Linked DNA regions of Neodiprion lecontei. The protein of the gene in region 3 binds, or shares a complex with, the protein of the main gene of each other region. Links are inferred from orthologs where the notes say so. Each region holds a gene or a part of one and is shown on either strand. Other genes may lie near its edges.

Region 1 (3,756 bases), on a different chromosome or scaffold from region 3:
GCAGACAAGTTGATCAAGGCAATCTGTCAAAATATGTGGGAATGTCTATTTTGAGATTCTCAGTATTCGACTAAAGGAAAATATGACTTGTTTGGGCATGAAAACAAAACTTGTAAAGTTAAGGTGTGTAATAAAATTATCTAAGCCTATAGCAATATTTTTTATTATCAGTCATATATTTTTACATTCGAATAATAATAATAATAATAATGTACTATAATAGTGCCTGTAACATGTTAATTTTAAATATCACTGACATAATAAGAACCAAGGTAAGAGTATTTTAAATAAAAGATTCCATTTAGCTCTTACATATTTTCAGTTTCGACTAGTTCTACGTAGTACAACATAGGTAATTAAAATAAATAAACTTTACATTAACATTTTCTGATTGCTTGTCTGCCATAGATGAATACTCATATCGATTTCACATACGTGATCATAGCTTGCATGCATCTAGTATATCTTCTTTTCGACTGTTTAAATACCAATGCGCGTAGAACACGTTCAAGAAAATAATTGAAAAATCTGATAGCATATTAAGGTAAACGACCGATTCGTCAGCATGCTATTTAAACATTCGCAAAGTCCCATGGATCATCATCATCATCACTCGTATTAAAATGTTAAATTGCTAAAGTATAAGTCAACTTCTAGCTACAGTCCCTTGATTGATAGAATAAAATGTAGCCAGTTTCGGAACTCTTTTGAATATCTGACGTCAAGCCGTAAAAATCTTCTATTGTCGCTGCATCTATTTTCTGGGACAAACAATAGGTTCATTTACTTCAACTCAATATGGCTCTAAGAGATGTTTTGTTATTATTCCTTGAACTTACATCAACCATGTCATCATCAAAAAGTAGCCAAAATCCATGACTTTTTACAATAGAAATGTAATGACCTCTATTAGGACCGCTACCACAATGTATAACAACTGCTACCAGGTCGTACAATCGATCTGGATTCACAGCATCATCACTCTGAAAATGATGATCAGACACCAACAATTGCATTGCAAGGAAGTCTTAAGTAAAAGATAAATCGACTTACAGTGTTGAAGAGTCTCAACTCTAATGGGAAGACCACTCTATGAGAAACTTTGATGTGTCTGTTGTATTGTTCTACGTATTTAAACCTTTTTAAATGCAACGCTAATATCATTGGCAGCTTCTTCACCCTCATACGTTTCTGTAAAAAAAAACAGTTTGAAAAAAGTGGTATCATTATAAAATGAGTTTATTATTCCACGTAAGTTCTTAAAGCTTACATACAGCGTAACTTTTTTTTTTACCTGAGCCTCCTGGTAGCTACTGCAATGATCACATTTGAATTTGTTGTCACTGCATAATGTTTCTGTATTAGAGAAGCATTTCAGACAATGTGTGATAGAAGTGTTCTGATCTACATCAACTTGTAGATCAAAAAAGTCTTCATCTTTACTGGAAACAGTTTCACAATTGAGACAACGAGTTTCTGAAGTCAAAATGCCCTGGAAAATTTCGTGAACCCATGTCGGCTCTGGCGGAGATCCTGCATCTCCTGCCCCACCTTTTCCGCCTGCAGGTCTGCTTTGGTTTCTTTCAGCTGTGAGTGAATGGTAAATATTGCTTATGGTTTCAATTCCTAAATTAGAACAAGTAGCTTCAATACTTCTACAGAATTAAACCCACCAAGTATGATTTCGTTAATGTGATTAATGAGAAAATTGAGAAACTCATGAGCATCTTGTTGCATATAGTTGTCGAATTCCTCTGAAACGAGGGAAAAAAAATTGGATTCAGACATGCAACCGTCTATACATTCATGACCACATCCATGAAAACTTGCCAAAAAAAAAACGACCTACCTTTTTCTTTTCTTAGTCTAGCGATAAATTTTTTTGGGGCAATGGAGCCAACTTTTTTCTTCTGTGTCGCAATACTGTAGAAAAGATCTGCCAAGCATGTTAATAAGGTTTCTTTGGTTCTTTTATTTCTTGCTTTGTATTCCAAGACTTTCTCTCTGAATGGACGACAGAAGTACAAAGCTTGTAATACAGAATTGCTGTAGCACGTGTTACCAAACTGTCCAACACAAAAAGTCCATCCTTTAGTCCATATATAGATTGTAAATGGATTGTAACAAGTAGAAAGAAAAAATTAACCATGGTGAAGTAGCTAGTATAATACAACCCGTGGAAAATAGATAAACTTAGCCAGTAGAAAAATTTCAGCAATTCCTTCTTATTGGAGATATACTCACGTTTACTAATCCAAAGTAATGCTCATTGGGAGGGAACTGATCAGAGCCGATGTCTCTTTCTAGCTGCGATATATTTGCACCCTGGAATTGGATGTGAAGATTGAAAACAAGGCGGAGACTCATTCTTAGTAACATATTTCTTCCATTGTTAACGCACTATTGTATCAAAATTCCATACAACAGTTAAGATTATTGTGTACAAATTAGCAGTATCAAATAATGGAAAGAATAGAATTAAAACTAGCTTTGGTTAGCTAAAGACAACATAAGACGAGGTTATCTTCGGCGATTTATCGTATGAACACGGTTTTCTGTGGAGAACGTACCATTTTATGATTTGATAGTATCAACTGGATGTTGACAAGAGCTAAGTACAGCTTCCACCGTTAGCTTAAGCCCCATCGTATAACAATTTGCACGTTTATATCAATTAAACGACCGACCGAACCATTGTCAATCACAACAGGAGAGTGAGTTTTAACGTAGTAAAAACTTTCATACGGTGTGATACAGGGAGGAGGATTAATGGATCAACACTTTCACCTCAATTGTTTAAATAAATTAATTACACTTTTATACTAATTTAAAAGAAAAAATTTTACTACTTCATTGCAACATGCAGGATAAAGCTCGCGTGTATGCATGCCCATACGTATCCATTAATGTGTGTATGAATTGTACGTATTATTATGTATGTATTACATGCGACTACATGTAGATTTGATTATTCCGTGTTCCTGAAACACTGGAAAAATTACTAAACAACTCGACGGATATCCGAGCAATGTTTCAGTCATCTACTTTTTAATCTACGGTGGTATTCCTATTTTATATTATCAATGTTCAAATAGCAGACACTATTACGATCAGTTACGAAAGCATCGCCGTTCAATTGCTGTCAGATAGGTATTAGGGGTTAGAGCTGCACACATAGATACATAGAATCAAGTGCGTAGTGTCATTCAAGGTTATTTATAATTTCATCGCAATACTCTCGATTAGACGATTCGCAAAAATATGTAACACAACCCGAAGACAGTCTGACAGTCAAAATGTTGAGATCAGTGCGTATTTTATACTTGGGAAATCCCGGGGCTCTCAATCTCCACACAAGCGTAAGTAGATGTTGATACTGCACCACGGCTGTGTGCTGAGTTTCCTACTTAACTGCCAGCAGTCTGTACCTAAACCTTAATTCCATAATTTTGCAGTGTGCGAAATGCAAGGAGAGCACCAAAAACGAGTTCACTGTCAAATTGGCAACCGGGCCGACGCTCCACGACTTTGTTTCAGATACTACGAGTAATTATGAAGGAAAGCTGAAACTGGAAAAAGGGGAAAAAAACCGACTCCGACTACCACCATGGTTGAAGACCGAAATACCTATGGGGGCTAATTACAGCAAGCTAAAATCTCAACTTCGTCAATTAAACCTGAGCACTGTATGCGAAGAGGCACGTTGTCCCAATATCGGAGAATGCTGGGGTGGTGGCGAACATGGAACTGCAACAG
Region 2 (3,756 bases), on a different chromosome or scaffold from region 3:
AACAATACAAAGATTACACCTCCAAAAAGCTGCCCTCTCCACATGCTCCAAAAATTTTTTTTAAATCATAGATTAAGGAGCTATTTATGCGTTCTACAATGCCGCAAACCGCGATTTTTGAGCTCGTTTCTGTTACGAGAAAATCCATTTTGTAAAGTGGGGGGATCAGCTTACCGAAAAGCTAGCCCCGCCACAGAAAAAAAATTTTTTTTAATCATTTTGATCATGTAAGAATTAGGAACTAATTAGGAACTCCTGAAATACATTGGAAAAAATGTCGTAGAAACAACCCCTATGGATATATCCACGCCCAATCACGATGAGAGGAGAAAACAAAATTCAAAACGATGAGTACTGGCATGTTGTGTGAGTTGCTGTAAAAAAAAAATTCGCTGCGATGAATTTGAAGGGTAGTTTTCTGATGATCGGAAACAAATTGGAACAGGGGGTTATTAGGGGGCAGTATCTCAAAAATCAAATCATTCATGTCCGGTTAGCTCTTAGATCGCTGAACATTTTGCCATAAAAAAGAAATCGCTGCAATGAATTTTAAGGATGGTTTTTTTTTTTTTTGTTTTTTACTAAGGATTGAAAATCAGAAATTGTCACCACTGGTATTTAAAAGCTCTTAAATCAGGCAATCAGCACCTAAAAAGCACCTAATTCCTGAGTCAACCATTTTTATTCTACCGCTATTATTTAACGATTTTTTGAAGTGTAAATACATTTTTTAAGACAATGAATTCGAGTTAAAGAGCACCTAACTCTTGCGCAGTCATTTATAGACTACCATAACAATGGAAAACCATAACCAATATTGGACATTTTCAGACTATGCGCTACTAGCATGACATTGGGTCAGCAGCTCAGAGTGAAGAATCTTTCTTATCGGTAATAGAATTGAGCATCTAATTTTTGAATAGGACACCTAATTAGCACCTAAAGAGCACCTAGTTATGGTATCTGTAAGAATCGATTTTTCCAACATGGTTCTGCTGACATTACAGACGTCAGGTTTCCTGTGTATGCGTGGTTATATTAACATTACAAATTTTAACCTTATGTTCTTTTGAACTTATTTTTGATTCCAGCAAATTCGAAAATAATACTTTCAGTTCATTTTAATTTATTTGAACTTGAAGACCAATGATAAAGATTAAAAACATAATATTCCTAAAAATATTGTGGCAGCCAGATGTTGCATCAATCGCAGAACTATGAGCGAGATTCAAGTGATCATACTTACTGGTTACTGTATTGTTGCTAGCAGTGAGAGCAGTGAGAGTGTTGACATCCCATAGGAATATTGCTCTGTCCAATCCGGCACTGGCCACCTGTTCTCTGTCCTTGGCATAAGCAAGCGCTTTCACATAATCTTTATGCGTACGCAATGTAGACATACAAAAGCCTTTGTGAGCATTCCAAACTTTGACTGTTGTGTCCGAACTAGCTGATATCACTGAGAAAATTGATAAAGCAAAATGAGAGTAAAGAATTTGAAAGCATCAAAGAAGAAAGACAACGTGGCAAGAAGTCACTTTGACTTACAATTCTTTCCACCGCAACACGACACAATGTCGTTCACCCAGTCAGTATGATGTTCCATTGACTGGATGTACGGTTCTTTTATATTTTTGCAGTTCCATATTCGAATTATACTGTCTCTTCCTGCCGAATAGAGTCTGTGCGATACTGGATCATACTGCAGTGAGTTTACGCCAGCTCTATGCTTACGTTCAACTTCGTCTCTAATTACCATAGACACCTTTTACCGTTGCAGAGGAAAGGAAGATTCGATAATGAGCAATGTAACGCAATAACATCATTGCGAGGAGCAATGATGGTGTAGGACAAGAAGTTACATACAAATATATGATAAATGTAACCTGTCATGTTAACATCTCGTATGATGATTTGTTTACGTTTTCACTAAGCTTTGGTTATACGGACTGATCCGTACTCACCTGGACTTTCTTCCGGGCGCTTTGGCCGCCTGTCTTGTGTGCTGCCATTGTCCAGACTTGGCCTAAGCACTTTTTGAAGACATCGAAAACCGTAGAGGTCCGATTTTTAATAAAATAGGAAGAGAAATACCGAATTCAGCTTAGATCGCGTTTCACCACTCACGATCAGCATAAACTACGCAGTGTAAAGGCAAGGAAAAGTATGTCGTATGGATTTTCAACTAAAGAAGTGACCACCGAAAAGCGACGGGGTTCAACAAGTCACCAGAAAGGCGCTCATAAGCAATCAGAAGTGACGTCCTAGCAGTCAATTCTGGACAAATTACGAGATAGACTCAAAATTGAATCGCGAAAATGAATAGGGTTGTCTGATAATAAAAAATTTTATCAGATCATTACTATATTATTAACATTATGTAATTTAAGTAAAAATTAAAACGTAGAAATGGATTTTAGAATTGTATTTGTTGAAAAAAAATGAATAAAACAAAATAGCCGGCGGAAAGGAACGCCCTGTCATTGCGAAGGATGTGGCGTGACGTCATAATTGGATACCTACGTGAGATCAGTGTAAATTTATATGGACTAGACTTATTTTATGCTCTGTACTGTAACATCCGACCGGAACGTCCGTATGTTTTATCGATTATTGTTATTATTATTTATCATTTTTATTAACTAACCAAACTCGACGTACAACAATCTTGTAACCGTAAGGTATTAAAACAACCGTCTAACTATTTGGAATATCCCTAGATAGAAATAACTATGAAATTCACTAATCAAGGCTTAAAAACCATGTTACGAGATGTAGTTCGCACTACAAAGAGCTATAATATTATTATACGTTATTATATATCATTATCATATTAACACTATGATTAACTAACACCATTATATCCAATTATTATAAAACACTCGACAATGCCATTTGCACATTTTGAGCTGATACCTACACTATATGCAACTTACGCTATACCGTATAATCTGGAGAGTAGAAGACTGTGAAACCATAGATAAATGTATAACCGATATTATATAAAGATAGATGCACTGCTGCAATAATCCATAACACCAGAGACTGCAAAACATTCAAAACCGTGAATGCCAAATATCCGTCATGAATTATACTTTCCACCGTAACGCCGTATTGTAGGTAACGTGTGCAGCGTTTTGAAGGTAATGCTGATCTCCAATGTGGAGCCATATAGAGCCTCATCTGGAGAACATATTACGAAGCTTAACGACGAAACGATTGTAGATGAATCAACTAATGGGATTATCTTGTAAAGCGAAACAACCAAACAAAATTACAATTAACGTATCAATACAATAACAATCAACCCTTTTAGGTAAACAAGGCTTGTACCAGTTTTGAGGTAAAACGTAAGAAAACATATCCCTAGCTCCTTACAGGTATTGTACGACACCAAGGAATTAACTCAAAGATGTATACGTGGCAACGCCTAGTAACAGACAACCAACAAACATAAGAACAATGCTCTAATACTTTTCAAGCCGATCTATATCAATATAAGAATTAACAATTACAGAAGAGGATTATACAAAAGCACATATGTAAACCAGCTCCAAAACTACGAATTATCAAATTGTTAAATACCCTAAATCTCTTAAGATTGTTATAACACGAACACCTAAGAATATTCGCAGCAGCGCAATCCTAGTATTAGATTTAATATTAAATAAATAGCAACTATGTCCCACTATTGTACTCCAGGTGAATAATGATAGTAATTAATTATAACACATATGCAATTCTACATATTTACAC
Region 3 (3,756 bases):
CCGAAGAACGTCTTCGGTTATATCCCATAGACAGAGTTGAGTGTCCTGGGAGACACTTCCCAGCCTGTAGCAGGTTCCTCCGGACACCCTTAGCTCCGACCCGCACGAATTTCTATTGGAATGAATACCTTGGGAGACTGTCGACAATCTGTTGGGCTTCTCATGAAAGTGATTATTGTGATTAGTGTGAGGCATGGATTCGTCGTCGGAACCACTGAAATCTGGATCGTGATCCCCGTAGGACGTTGTGTAGGGATCGAACGCGACCACACTGACCCAACTGTGATGACCCTGGCCCCTGGCCACGACTCTTTTCTCATTGAAGCTCCATATCGTCACCAGATCATCTTCTCCTCCTACTACGACGTATCGTCCATCCGGTGACCAACAGACGCACAAGAATCCTCCAAAGTAGCTCCTCGCCGATCCCACTAGTTCCATCGTATCGTAGTGAAAAACTCGTAGGAAGCCATCCTGGGATACCACAGCCAAATTAGAGCCACAGGGACTGAATGCAAATTCATTTATACAGCATCCCTCAGCGCCGATCACCCATCGGTACAGGGGGTTTCTTGTGGACTTTGTTTTGCATGTGTGAATCGCATAGCCATCCCCTGATTTGAACGGCTGATAATGAGGCGGTGTCGTTCCACAAAGCAGCTCTTCGTTGTACAGGTACAGTTGGCCAGAGCTATGCGAAACCAGGAATAGATTGCTCGATCCCGGAACCCATTTGATGCAGGTCACTTTACTCTTGTCGATTAGCCTCTGAAATTACAAACATCAGTTGCTGATTATTCTTTGTCGCGTTTATCTTTCAACTAATGTCAACATCTTCCCAGTAAATTAAATAACTCGAGTCCTTGCCATATCTATTCGTCAAAGGGTTTTACAACTGGTAGAGAATAACAACATAGCTAATAAATACGAATAGATTACAGCTTTAATATACGCAGAGATCTTAGTATCTTGGCGCATTGTCAGTGATCGGAGAGATAAGCGGAGTATTGCATAACACAGTATGTAATGCCTGTTTAATTATTTCATCAAGTTATAGTTGCGTTACAACAGTACTGCCAACCTTGAATGATGTAGGGTTACGCGGAGCCATCTGTGGCAGATAATAAAGCAAAAAAAACTCTCACTTGTCGCGACAGATAGCATATTACGTGTCTGTTGCTAATTGCCTGGTTATCACGTGCCGGCAAAATAACGGTGCTGTATCTCAGTCATTCAGCAATCAGCAATAAGCCTGACAAAGAGCCCTTAGCTAGCCTTTACTCGTAGAATGTGCCTAGCTTTGGCTGCCCAGTTATTGAAATGAATATTGCTCATCAGGATAGGATGGATTTTTGCTTTTGATTTGAATTGATCTGTTATGCATACCTCTTCATTGTAAAGTTTGCTAAGCTCCTTTTTAATTGGATCTATGAGCTGAATCTGTCCTGTGGAAAATCCGACGAGCAGTGGCGCGCTGTCTGCAGTGGCTGTAGTTTGGTTGAAGTTATGGCAGGTTGGATTTGTTCCTTTGTAGAGCTTTTTGTCAACAGGTTTGTTGAGATCCACAGCCTGAAACAGTTGCTATTATACTTTGAGATAGATTTTGAATGAGAATTATTCAGAAAACGGTTCCTAAGCTCTTATAAAATGAATTTGTATTTCAGAACCAAGCAATCGTAGCTGTGTGCCAAGATTAGGAAACCTGACAAAAGTTTGCATGTTTCTATTAGTGTTATCATTGATCAATTTTTTCACCAGCATAACACAGGCCAACAAAGCATAGGATGAACTAAAAGTGAACGTAAATGTAAATGTAACATAGATAAAGTCGAAGTGAAGTAGAAATGCGAAGAATATGACGAGGTTGGAGAGTTGTGGTGGTGGTGGTTGCGAAGATGGAGTCGGAACGACGAGGCGGAGGGGGGAGGGGGGCTGTTTGAGGTTATGTATCGTTAAGTTAGCGCCGAAAGAGTCGCAGGGATAATAGGGCAGGTTTAACGAGGTGGCAGAAGAGGAGGTACCTTCTTGACGCCACGGTAAACGTATACGTATAATTCTTTGCCAAAGTTGAAGCACATGCGGTCGCCGAGGCCCTGGGCTCCCGTGGGATCGGCTGGATCGGGCAATGTGACGAAGGACACCCTGACCGAGGCGCTGCCCTGGCTGTTGGTGTAGCCCACCCTGTTAGGTCGGGAGTACTCCGAGAGGGTCATCAGTTTGTACGTTCCTTCTCGCGTGACAAATTGTGTTTTCAAGTCGTCCTTCCCCCCTCCATCGAGCTGCACCGCCATCTTACCACTAGAGAAACGACGGTGGAGTTCATGAGAATCGAGGAAATGGGTGTTTCCTTTCCTATTTTAGTTAACCGTCGATTGATCCGCGATTATACCAATCCCGGCTCTTCGATCGAACGACGACGAGAGTGTGGTTACTGTTTTCTTAACAACACCACCACCACCACCATCACCATCACCACCACCACCATGCAATATCGCGGAATCGCCGAGTCCCGAGTACAAGATCCGAACCCGCAGCGAAATTGTCTGCGAGCTGATCGTCGCGGCTCGCTCCAGTGTTGTTGGTGCGCGCGCACACCCCAGCCGACCGACACTCTGCCAACACCGGGCAATCCTACATAATATCGCTCTGCAACCGGATATTTTCTCAACAGATGGTTGAATTACTAATTGATTTAATCGCTCCTTCCTTCTTCCTGTCACACATGTTGACGACCGTTTAACCGTCCCTCGTCGCGTCAACGAGCAGCCGCTGTCGCTCGAACGATACTGATCGTACCACTCGCCCGTTTCGTAATGACCGACCACCTCCTTCTGGCCGCATCCTAGTCGACAGGAATATCGCAGCTGCTCGGAAAAAACTGTTTCGTCCGATTCATCAATCGACAAGACCAGCTCCGTCAATAACTTTTACAAGGATCATTCTCCGTGAAATTCTCGAATCTTTCCTCGCTTCGCGGAGATCGCTGTGCATTCGAGGAGATGCCGCAACGTATACGCTGTGTCAATTTCGTTTTCAAATAAGGCGACGCTCCCCGCTCTTTGTCGTCTGCTATGTTTGGTATCCATTGGTGCCAACCTTCTCCGCCGCCTCGTTCGCAGTGCTGCTGTCTCAACGGAACCTAACCTGAAAACCATGTGCTTGCCAATGCAAGCGTTCAGTTTTTGGTTGTCGATAGGCCGTGTTCATTTGAATTGAATTATTGCTGGCGATATTGAAAGTGGGACGGTTGACAATGGTTCGTGGGAAAAAACCGACTCGCGGAGGGAATCGACGAAAATTTGATAAACGTTTCGAGCATAAGCCTAAGGTGAAAAAATGTAAATTCAATATCAGGGAAGCCTCGTATGTCAAGGAACGTGATGCCAAGAACGAAGAGATTGAAAATAGGAGGCGAAAATTAGAGGCGGAGAGGAGCAAACAGTTGGAACTTGAGGCTGAGAGTTCGGAAGAGGAACGAGAGGATCCGTTAAAAATGTTGCTTTCAGCTATCGGTGGTGCTGAAACTAAGAGGCAACCTGTCATTGACTCCGATTGTGAGTCAGAGTCTGAATCCGAGCCTGACGACGAAGCCGAGGTGAAATCTTCCGTCGAAGAAGAAAATCTTTTCAAGACGAAAAACTCGGGCGTAGATCACGTCACTTCCGAGGCTAGCGACGCTGAACATGTCGAGATAAATTTGAGGGAGGAAGAGGAAGAGGATCAAGAGACTGCGCGCGAAGATGCTGGGAAGCTCAG

What was found.
Region 1: WD repeat-containing protein 20 (region 3) and ubiquitin carboxyl-terminal hydrolase 46 share a complex: the UniProt entries of both Drosophila melanogaster proteins name them as parts of the usp12-46 deubiquitylase complex. The link is inferred for Neodiprion lecontei from reciprocal best matches to the Drosophila melanogaster genes CG6420 and Usp12-46.
Region 2: WD repeat-containing protein 20 (region 3) and WD repeat-containing protein 48 share a complex: the UniProt entries of both Drosophila melanogaster proteins name them as parts of the usp12-46 deubiquitylase complex. The link is inferred for Neodiprion lecontei from reciprocal best matches to the Drosophila melanogaster genes CG6420 and CG9062.

What each region holds. Positions count from the first base shown.
Region 1 is NC_060265.1:2,718,136-2,721,891, forward strand, and holds ubiquitin carboxyl-terminal hydrolase 46, read right to left. Parts: upstream 2,894-3,756; 5' UTR 2,574-2,893; coding exon 2,571-2,573; intron 2,401-2,570; coding exon 2,245-2,400; intron 2,067-2,244; coding exon 1,850-2,066; intron 1,755-1,849; coding exon 1,674-1,754; intron 1,588-1,673; coding exon 1,295-1,587; intron 1,192-1,294; coding exon 1,054-1,191; intron 984-1,053; coding exon 840-983; intron 762-839; coding exon 654-761; 3' UTR 10-653; downstream 1-9. Other genes in the region: lipoyl synthase, mitochondrial, read left to right, coding at 3,297-3,359, 3,456-3,756. UniProt on the Drosophila melanogaster protein: Catalytic component of the Usp12-46 deubiquitylase complex.
Region 2 is NC_060264.1:15,797,104-15,800,859, forward strand, and holds the start of WD repeat-containing protein 48, read right to left. Parts: upstream 2,153-3,756; 5' UTR 2,013-2,152; coding exon 1,965-2,012; intron 1,766-1,964; coding exon 1,549-1,765; intron 1,460-1,548; coding exon 1,247-1,459; intron 1-1,246. UniProt on the Drosophila melanogaster protein: Regulatory component of the Usp12-46 deubiquitylase complex. activates deubiquitination by increasing the catalytic turnover without increasing the affinity of deubiquitinating enzymes for the substrate.
Region 3 is NC_060266.1:565,580-569,335, reverse strand, and holds the start of WD repeat-containing protein 20, read right to left. Parts: upstream 2,791-3,756; 5' UTR 2,292-2,790; coding exon 2,022-2,291; intron 1,582-2,021; coding exon 1,387-1,581; intron 769-1,386; coding exon 1-768. Other genes in the region: U3 small nucleolar RNA-associated protein 25 homolog, read left to right, coding at 3,254-3,756. UniProt on the Drosophila melanogaster protein: Regulatory component of the Usp12-46 deubiquitylase complex.